Neodiprion lecontei: one gene and its partner. The protein of the gene in region 1 interacts with the protein of each later gene in a pairwise test. Links are inferred from orthologs where the notes say so. Each region holds a gene or a part of one and is shown in the gene's direction. Other genes may lie near its edges.

The links.
Region 2: the proteins of eukaryotic translation initiation factor 4E-binding protein Mextli (region 1) and uncharacterized protein LOC107224571 interact in a two-hybrid assay, tested with the Drosophila melanogaster proteins (2 studies listed by BioGRID). The link is inferred for Neodiprion lecontei from reciprocal best matches to the Drosophila melanogaster genes mxt and CG13124.

What each region holds. Positions count from the first base shown.
Region 1 is NC_060264.1:21,030,045-21,035,284, reverse strand, and holds the start of eukaryotic translation initiation factor 4E-binding protein Mextli, read left to right. Parts: upstream 1-1,947; 5' UTR 1,948-2,283; intron 2,284-2,644; exon of another isoform or gene 2,645-3,723; intron 3,724-3,818; exon of another isoform or gene 3,819-3,883; intron 3,884-4,009; exon of another isoform or gene 4,010-4,045; intron 4,046-5,240. UniProt on the Drosophila melanogaster protein: Plays a role in promoting translation.
Region 2 is NC_060261.1:3,497,824-3,502,705, forward strand, and holds the start of uncharacterized protein LOC107224571, read left to right. Parts: upstream 1-1,657; 5' UTR 1,658-1,994; coding exon 1,995-2,003; intron 2,004-2,891; exon of another isoform or gene 2,892-3,039; coding exon of another isoform or gene 3,040-3,042; intron 3,043-3,052; exon of another isoform or gene 3,053-3,161; intron 3,162-3,296; exon of another isoform or gene 3,297-3,453; intron 3,454-4,215; exon of another isoform or gene 4,216-4,462; intron 4,463-4,600; coding exon 4,601-4,685; intron 4,686-4,882.

The sequences.
Region 1 (5,240 bases):
TGAGTCAATTTTAGCATGAAATAATATTATTTCTGATGTAAACATAATCAATGTAAGTATATATTATACTAATGTGCAAAACAGAAGGAAATAACAAATATTGTTTTCTTTCTTCTCTGAAGCCTGTTTAAGTTACGTATCAATCGCTCCCGATCTTGATGCAAACATTGTGCTAACGTACAAATTTTTCGATTATACATGTGTGAAAAACAAAAACATTGAAAGAAAGTTGAAATTACCTTCTGTTGCAGAAAGCGAGATCTTTTATAATAAAATATGTCACAATACTGACGACGAAGATGAGAACAGAGAGAATTAATGAATACAGCGTATACATTGTATTAATTTTATCGATAAATACACTATACAGTCCTTCTGAGAAGAAGAAGAACAAGAATAATGAAAGGGAGATGATAGTAATAATTTTTTAGACTGATATAAAAAATACTAATAATGATAAATAATGATGATGATGATGATGATGATGGTTATACGATGATAATGATAATAATTTATTCATTTACGTAATCAATCGAGTACCTTTAGTACAGGGAAGAGAGAGGAAGAATGAAAAGACGGAGGAAAGCTGTTGCAAAATGTAGGGAGATTGTGTTTTGGAGCGTTGTGTTAACACAACGTTATATTGGTTCCTGGATTATGTTTCTACTACACAAAACGAGTGCCTTTTTCATCTATATTCTATCTCGCATTATCTAACTTATAATTATAGTTGATAATATTATACATACATTATAACATATACATACATAACATACATATTAATAATTATTGAAGGTATTATTAAATTACGATCTCTCTGCGAACAGTTGGCAAATTTTTACTTATAGATCACGATATATGATATACAATGTTGTACTTTAGCACCTCGTTTGCGCCCTGAGACTGAAACCTCTGCGAATTCGAAAGATTCTTTTTGAGATTTCATGAACATTGCAGTTGAACTTTGAAAAAAACGATTGTAGAAAAAACTGAAACAAACAAACAATTATGTTGAGGTAGAGAATATTTTATCCGGTGTCAGCTTTGCTAATTCTTCAATCGTAACGTCAAATACTCAATGTGAGATCTGAATGGATTCTATTTCGAATTCTGACGAAAAGCGGGAGAAACCGATACAAAAAAAAAAAGTAACAAATTTTAACATTGTTGCAGTGAAAACTAAGTTGAAACAAAATAGGAATCATTTATTGACTACAATTAGTAATAATAACAGTAACAACAATAATAATAGTATAAAATATACACGAGGACGACGATGATAATGGATAAATAATATTATGAGTACTATTATTGATTATGTTTTTTAGGATAATTTTATTTTCGGCATAACATAAACGTAAACTAACTAATCCGAACAAATACAAAAATGAAAACAGAAAAAAAAACTAAGCGGTACGTGGAAAAATGATGTATATTGTTGTGTAAATTACACCACGAGGTGTGATTTACATATGAAAATGAATTATTATGTAGAAGGCTTCTTACTGACTGAATAAAATGTTTTCAATGTCTGAATTCTTTTTGCCTCCTTATAACATCCATTTACCGTCTCTAAAGTCAGAGAATCTTACTTTTTCTTTACTTTGAGATGTTCGAGAATATGAATATTTCATAATTATATAATATTCTTCAAATATCATGTATTTAAAACTGCATTGTACTTCACTTTTGAAATTTTACATCGACTTGTGACCCTTGAATATGTATTTACAACTTGAGCGGAAATTCAAATTTCCCGCATCAGGTATCTGGTAAAAAAGTAACGAGAATTCACCGAAGGCAGCTGATTTAAGGCTAAGTGAACCAATCAGAAAAGAAATATACAAGAATTTAGGGTATTTCTCGTCAGACTCGAATTCTGATTGGCCCCTGAATTTCTGTCGGGAGACGAAGGCGGAACGAAAGTCGGCGCTTAGTCGACTAGTAGGTTAGTTGACTCTCTGCCCGTTCTCTGCTCTAGGCTGGGAGATCGTGTCGTGAGAGCCCGGGTGAGAAGTCCGGCTAAGCGAGGTGCGGCGAGGCAGAGGACAGGGTAGAGAGAAAATACCATGACGAATCGTTGGTCGTCCTCTTTGGTTTGATCCCTAAATAAAAATCGAAAAAATAAAAATCAACATACTAGAATTCGCGTCAGATCCGTGCGCGCACGTTTTTCGATCGCCGTGTGGCCACATAAAATTAAGCAACTGTTCATTGTCATTCTGGGTGGAAAAGAAGAGGACAGTGCGCACCGCAAATCAGCAACATCCCTATCTACCTGAAGTAAGTAATAAGTATGCCTGCATGTATGTGTTAATGATCAAACGCGCGTGCGTGCGTGTATTTTTGAAAATTGTCACACACGTTCGTCTACATCCATAATAGCGGTGATCTTTATGCTGTAAGCGTTTACATATGTCATTTTTTACGGTTTTTATACAGTGATCGCCTGCTGACTCGCCTGCTCGCTTGAGCTAGATCGGAATCAGCGTTAGGATCGGATATCGAAAGCTGTGCGATCAAAAATCGTCGCCATTTGAATATACAATGATTGATCAACCGCATTGATAGAATGCAATTAAAAATGCTAAAAACGGTCACGTATCGGGCACGAAAAATGTTTATTAATAAATAATTGCAAGTAGTAATAAGACTAATTTCTTTATTTTCTACTCTAGTGTATGGTAGATACAGCTAGGCGACTTTATAGGCACATGTTCAAGTATACATTGCGGTATATACAATACATATCGCTGGTATGACACGTGAGGTTATTTTCGTTCTCCATATCATTCATTTTTACTATAAACCTTTGGTAGCCGAAAGCGACGATGTGCGTTTATTCTCGCATATTCATCATTAGACCTTCCTCTGTTTTCTCGTGCTTTTACGAAATTTACTCGACGTCGTGAGATCCGTTTTTCCTTGTCCCATAATTCAAGAAATCCGCCGGTGGTGACTTTTAAAGACGTTGCGTTGTAATCCTTACGCGATGCCGCCAGGCGATAATCTCTCGCATATTCGCCGTTTTCGATTACTTGACGGTCCCTGCGTCTTGAGGTCTGTAGAGCACTTGCCAAATTAACGGACTCCACTGCCGTTCAGCATCCCTCGCGTCATTATCGAAGGTACTGTCAGTACTGAGTTGTGCCTTTAATTTTCCTCTATTCCCTGTTTGGCGCGCAATTTGTTACTCCTCCACGCGCGCCAACGACCCTGATTAGATAACATTCGCACTAACCTAACCTAATTTAACGTTCGCCATACGATACCACAACATAACCATGTATTCTACGTATGTAATGTAACATACCTGCATCTTATCTACGCTAAATCCATATTATTTATGTACTCTACCGACAATCTTATTGAAGCAAACTTCTAGGTATAACTGATTCTGTAGCTTTCTAATCCTTTTTGTGATCCCAACTTTAACTGCGACAAAAAAAAAACTTTGTCATAACATAACACAACGTCAATTACACTTACCTGGGATGTGTTACGTGCATAAATTATCATACGCATACTTATGTGGATAGAATCAAATACATAACACAGTTTTTGCTTGAGCGCTGAGCATTGGCTGCTGAACTGAAGGCCGAGCCGAGTGTGCATGTACAGTTTGACTTACGTCTGTTTTACATCAAACACATAGACGCGTATCCGCGTACGTGTGCGTACAAAATCGTTGATGCAGAATATTTCCAGGTCACAGACATCTGTCTGGAAATTTTCGGAATAATCCTAATTTCCCGTTCATCAACTCGTTTAATGGGAATAATTTCGATGCGAATATATTTATTATAAATTTTTCTTACATTTCAACGGTTCGCCCGATGTATTTTATGGTCTTATTGGAGGGTGAAGTTAGCCGCTTTCAAACCTATAAGAGGAAATAGAATGTGCAAGTAGCAAACTTCACTCTTCAGCCATACGATGGAGTTTTACGGACTAAATTCTCGAGTCTTGGAACTCGACGATAGTGAAATCACATTTTAGCTATTCTTACCGTAGTTTTATTGGGCGTGAAATAGCGTTTGACAACTTTGGAATGCTGGAAATGATAATACTGACGAAGTAAAATTCCAAGCGTCTCAGCGGCGGCCGTATGCAGCCCCCCCCCCGACCCCCCTCGCCGCCACAATTTTTATTCATAATATTTTTATTATTTAATGCTTATTTATTTCGTTTTTTAAATTCATTTAAGGGGCTTACGGGAACAAGGGACTTAATTCTTTACTTCACGGAGAAAGGGCTTAACACCTCTATTCTATACATAATTTTGAACAAAAACACTGAAATCTATTTTCTTTTGACGCAGAAACAAAGAAATGGCATGAATTCTACGAATTTTATATTACGATTTCGTAGAATCCAACCCATTTCTTTATTTCTGTGTCTATGGAAAATGGGTTAGAGTGTTTTTGTTCAGATTTGTATATAGAATACGGTTGTTAAGCCGTTTGTCGCTCTTGAGATACGTGGAATTAGATATTTCGAGATATATACGTCACATCGAAATCGACCAGGGTACTTCCTTAACGATTTTACGAGTTTGTCTCATTCATGTAAAATTGAAACGCAAAAATCACGTGTTTTTATGATGAGATTTATTTCATTTTTAGGGTTCCCTGCCTCAAAAGGAAAAAAACGGAACCCTTATAGGATCATTTCATTGTCCGTATATCTGTCTGTCTGTCTATTCGTCTGTCTGTTCGTCTGTCAAGACCTTTTTTCTCAGGACCAGGTAAAGGTATCAAGTTGCAATTAATCTCAAATACCAAGGTCTACGGTCCCTTGGAGGTGTAAAAAATTCAAGCTTCTAAATTTACCCGCTCAAAAGATACGGCCATTTATGTCATATATTTTACTGCTCGCAACTCATAAATAAAAACCTATAGGGTCCTTCCGGTTGACCCAGAATCATGAAATTTGGAGGGAAGTAAGGTCTCACAACACAAGTAAAGGAATAAGTAGGAAAATAGTTAATTTGCACTTATATCATACAAAAAAAAAAAATAATTAATTTCGTATGGAACCCTCAGGGTGCAAGCTGTATTCGCTCTTGTCCGCTTTTTTTCAGTATCGTGCATATTTTAAGGGGGGGGTAAGGTTAATTCGGTGAAAAAAAAGCATGTTTATAAGATTTTTTTTTGGCAATACAGATGGTGTTAGTTTATTCAGGCAATCCATACATGATAATGTAACATTTGAACAATATTTCCCTAAATTTTCATTGC
Region 2 (4,882 bases), on another chromosome or scaffold:
TCATCGAACGTTTGTGATTGCCTGCGTCGGCGAATAGCGTGAAAAAGCAATAATGCAAGTCTATACAAACCCAAAAAGTTTATTTTTCAAATTGGGTTTCATTTACACCTTCATATTACCTTGAATATTTCTTTCATCAAGAATCTCCGCTGCCGCCATGAATTTTTAGGTTACACGCTGCCTGTTGCAAGATCGCGATACTCACTTGATAGATCAATTTTTAGTTATGACGTAATTCGTAAGATGGCGCATTTTACATTGTGCATTTGACAAGGGTCGATAGCGTAAGTCGATACTATCGAGATTTCTCGAAGCGTTCGACTATTTGAATAAGGAATTGGTTTGGGTTCAATTATTGCGGAGTTAGATCGTAAAATATCGTAATTATAAGTATTACGAAATGATGCAGTAACCCGAATCCCGAATTAATGATCTGATAAATAGAGAAAGAAACAAGTGATTGTACAACGCGGAGCCATGCAAATTGACAATCGGGCAATTACAATCGAAGCGCATTATAATCCATGCGACGGCTCGCGTGATGATATTTCATCAGATTCTTTAAAACAAAAAAAAAAAAAAACAGGTTCTTCACACGACGTGCGTGCAGCGTAAGATTATGAGATATTCATAGGTATATACGTGTATTAAATTCGCTGTAAAATACGCACACGGTTTCACTAGGAAAAACTCACTTACATTACACAGGTGTACGACAGGATTGCGCAAATCAACTTTAGTCCAAGCTGCATCATAACGTAGGTATATTGCAGCGCTCTCATATAACAGGCCTGTCTGCCTACTGCAGCACAACAAACTGACAAAGTAGCAAGTTACATAGATACGTGGTAGATGGAGAATCTTAAAAACGTATGCGTTCATGACTCCTCCGAGTATGCGTTGTCCAACGTGCGTGGCGCGCTAAGCCTGCGATATACCTCGATTCAAAATAAGTACGAAGCGAATAATTTGCCGACGGTTTCAAATAACCGTCGCAAATCACGTCGAACAGCTCTCGTCAAGCTGTCATCGTCTCGCTTTGTTTCGTTGTGCTACTTTGGATAAAAAAAAAAAAAAAAAAAAAAAAAAAACACTGCCAATGAAAAAATACAACCACCTCAACGGTTTTCTGCGGAGCGATAAGACGCAATTTCAAGTCTCGAACTGCCGTCCCGATTTAGGTGATCGCAACATTCTACATTGCGCTAAAACGTGCATTAACGTATCAAAAAGATGCGTGGGAGTCAGAGCTGAGCCGTCTGATCCGCACGTCTCGCCTGCCTCGCAACAGCTGTGATCGGATTATGACAGTCTTGTACAGGCGTATACCTGGCTGTGAAACGAGCTGTCGAACCTTGAAACGTACTATCGCTTACATGGAGCGAAGGATCGGCGACATGACTACAGAGCTTGATATAATGGCATGGCTTGTGTGCAACGTTTATATGGCACGAGCGAAATGCCGCCCGCGCCTCTTCTCCATAACCAATCATTGGATCTGAAATAGGTAGGGGGGGGGGGGATAAGTATATTGTACTTTGTTTAGATATTTCAGTTAATAGATATTTCGATCAAAGGAAACACATCCTCCGACTCTCTCATACGTACCCGATTGATAATCACCTTGTGTAAATAATAATAATAATATACATGTATAAAGAAGAATATCGTGTCGTACGGATTACAATTTTTCATGTACCTTATTATATTTATGCCGTTGTATAATTATATTCTTATTAGGAAGTACGTCTGTCCCTCGCGAGTTTCGCGCGTACCTACAAAGCTCGCATGATCATATTATATACACACCTTCGAATAATTCCGGGAGCCATACCGCGATTAGTTTAGCTTTGTTGGATATCTAGGACTCCTCGTCACGCGCGTAGAGTACGGAGTTTTTGTACACTGCATTTTAACGTTGTATTGTTAAATACCTAAAACGGAGGGATTTATGGAGTCGTAGACGGAGCGACGCACGTTGATTATACCTGCAGATGATCAAGGTGGGTGGTAGTTTCGATTTTTCTCGTATACAATAATCTGACTCGTTTTGTGGTACATTGAGAAATATCACACTTTATACGGTAAAATGTGTCGCTAATATTGTATTACCCTACAAATTAGCGTAGGTATAATTAATAGAATGAATCTAACGCTGCACGATTTTTTCTGTTATAATATATTAAATGTTTAGTCTTATTATGAATTAATATCGTTTGCGTCATCGCTGTGTATAAACAGAGTATCGGGAATCGGAAGTGACGAACCGGAAGTAGATAGTGTCGCTGCTGGGTTGAAGATTTTTCAGATTTATAAATTACGTCTGCACGCGTATCTATTATTAGCGATATTGTAAGCGCGCCGGCGGATCGCGAGTCGCGCCGATTGAACAAACAGGAACAATATCACGATCATCGTCATCCGAAAAAGCCTGCAAGTATAAATTATGTATACACGAATTCGTTTTACCGATGCCGATGGAAAAAACTAAAAACTTATACCGATCATTAATAATTAATACGTTGCTCCGCACTTGTGCAAACGGGGTTAAATATTTTAATCGCATTTGTTAAAACCATATCGGCACACCTTTCGTTTGTACATACATACGTGCATATAACTACAAATATGTATCGTACAAGTATAATTATATCGGTAAGATCACCGGGTTGTGTTACGTAAGTAGATAAAATATTTGACAAGCGATTGTTGTATCGCAAAACAATGGTACCTCAAGTAACATACTGGTAAATAAATGACAACAATAATAATGATGAAAAATATGATGAAATTAAATGTAGTCAATATATTTATTTTTATTGTTATTGTTGTTGTTGTTATTAATGTTACCGCCGAACGCGCGTGTCACAATATCGATTCGATAACGATATTATCATATTCTTTATATACGTATATCGCCGTGTACAATGAAATTCGCGGCGCAAATGCGCTGCGCTGATGCTGCTGCTGCTGTCGCCGTGGTTTAAAAAGAATCTCTCGTATGGAGGCAGCGCGCTGGGTATTTCAGTCTTCGTTTAAATGGTGGATATATACATGTATATTCTTACTCACGGTTGCGCTTGCTATTATTAGTTCCTAGTCACCAGAGTAGAGTATAAGCTTCTGTGTATTATACGGTGAAATAACACGCTTCGAAAGTGGTACGCTTCTTGCATAATATAAGTAAATTAAATAATCATCGATAAGCTGCAATTACGTTGAAAAAGGTTGAAAAACTTCTTTGGTGTCTGACACACGCCTGCCTCGACGAAATTTTAAATTTCAAACTATCGTCATTTCACCGCTGAGTTTCCGAGCGTTAACTTCTCCTACGGATAAACTGCTCTCTGCACTTTTAGACCCTGCTTATTTCAACTGTCAGACGTGTACCAGCGACCATCGTTCACTTTTTTTTTTTTTTTTCTTAACAATGATTGTTCACCAGTTATCACCGTGAGTTTAAACATATGTCTGTGTAAACGCGGGGTTATGATCGAACGGAATTTTTCGAATTTGAAAAAAGGAATTGGAACAGAAAAAGCGTTGGAACTGTTACCAAGGAAATATATCGGTGCGTGTGACCACGCGGTTCGGGATCTGAGAGAATAATTTGAATATGATAATACGTGTGCGGAAGGATTAGACGTCGCTGTAAAATTGTTCAAGAGACAATGCGCGCCGCGGTATTTGAACTGTTCGAAAAATATGAGCAATGCTAAATCTGAGGCTGTATAAGTTGACGCCTTTATACTTGTGCATGCATGCGTTAGTGACTAACGGCTAATGGCGTTTCGGAGTTATTGGAGGCGAACCGGTCTCGTACTGTACTGTATTTGAATTACAGATAATCGAAGATTTAATTTTCGTTTAGTGACGAGGCTGAAGTTAGTAATGTTAACGTAACGATACATAAGAAATGAAAAAAAAGTAATCATTGTTGAACAATTTTAGATTGACTTTAAGATAGTTGGCTTTTCAGAATGAGTGTATAATATTTTGCTTGTAATAATTGACTAAATTTCGGAAATTTACAAAGGTGCGAATTGGCGATTTTTGATAAACATTCCTCGTTACAGTAAAGTTACTAACTTCATCCTCATGTTTAACGACACCTTTACCTGCACCTATTGTCATTATTCTCGATTTGCCGAATAATTATTGCAGTCTGATAAAATATAATAGGTGTTTCCTTTTTTTCATTTGCTGCTTCATTAGCGACTGCTGCTCAGCTCCAGGGTGCCGGATCCATTGCAATAACAAATCACCAAGCTCTTAGATGTGTTGAATTATTACTAATTGTATGATCCGTGAAAATGTATACGTGTGAAGGATGTAAGAAGCACGCCTCTTTAGTGCTGTAATCATTTTGCCGCTGATAATAAATATTATACACGTATATTTGAGGCATTGTACTAATTCAATCTGAATCACCTAATCTTTGAAGAACGTGAAGTAAACGTAGGTACGATCAAAGTTTTTATAGTTTGAGTGTTTGAGACTTTAATATAATCCTAACATTTTTTTCCAACTCCGTTATAAAATCAGTATAATTTACCTACCACCTCCTCCTTCTCGATATAAAACTTCAACATCTTTTCAGATGAGGGATGCCGTTCTGCAAAAACGGAACAGTAGCATAGCCACCCCGAAGACGAAACCATCGATTCAAATATATCGCCCTCCAGGTTTGTAAACATTTACCTATGTTTTTCTGTAAACATTTTTCCAAGTTATTCAAATATTTTCGGGTGAAAATTCGATTCTCTGTTACGTTAGTTATATTTTCAACTTTACAGTTGCTTCAGAAAATATTTAAATACTATATATATATATATAGTATATATGATGAAGATAACGGTGACTCAGCTGTTAGAACTTGCAA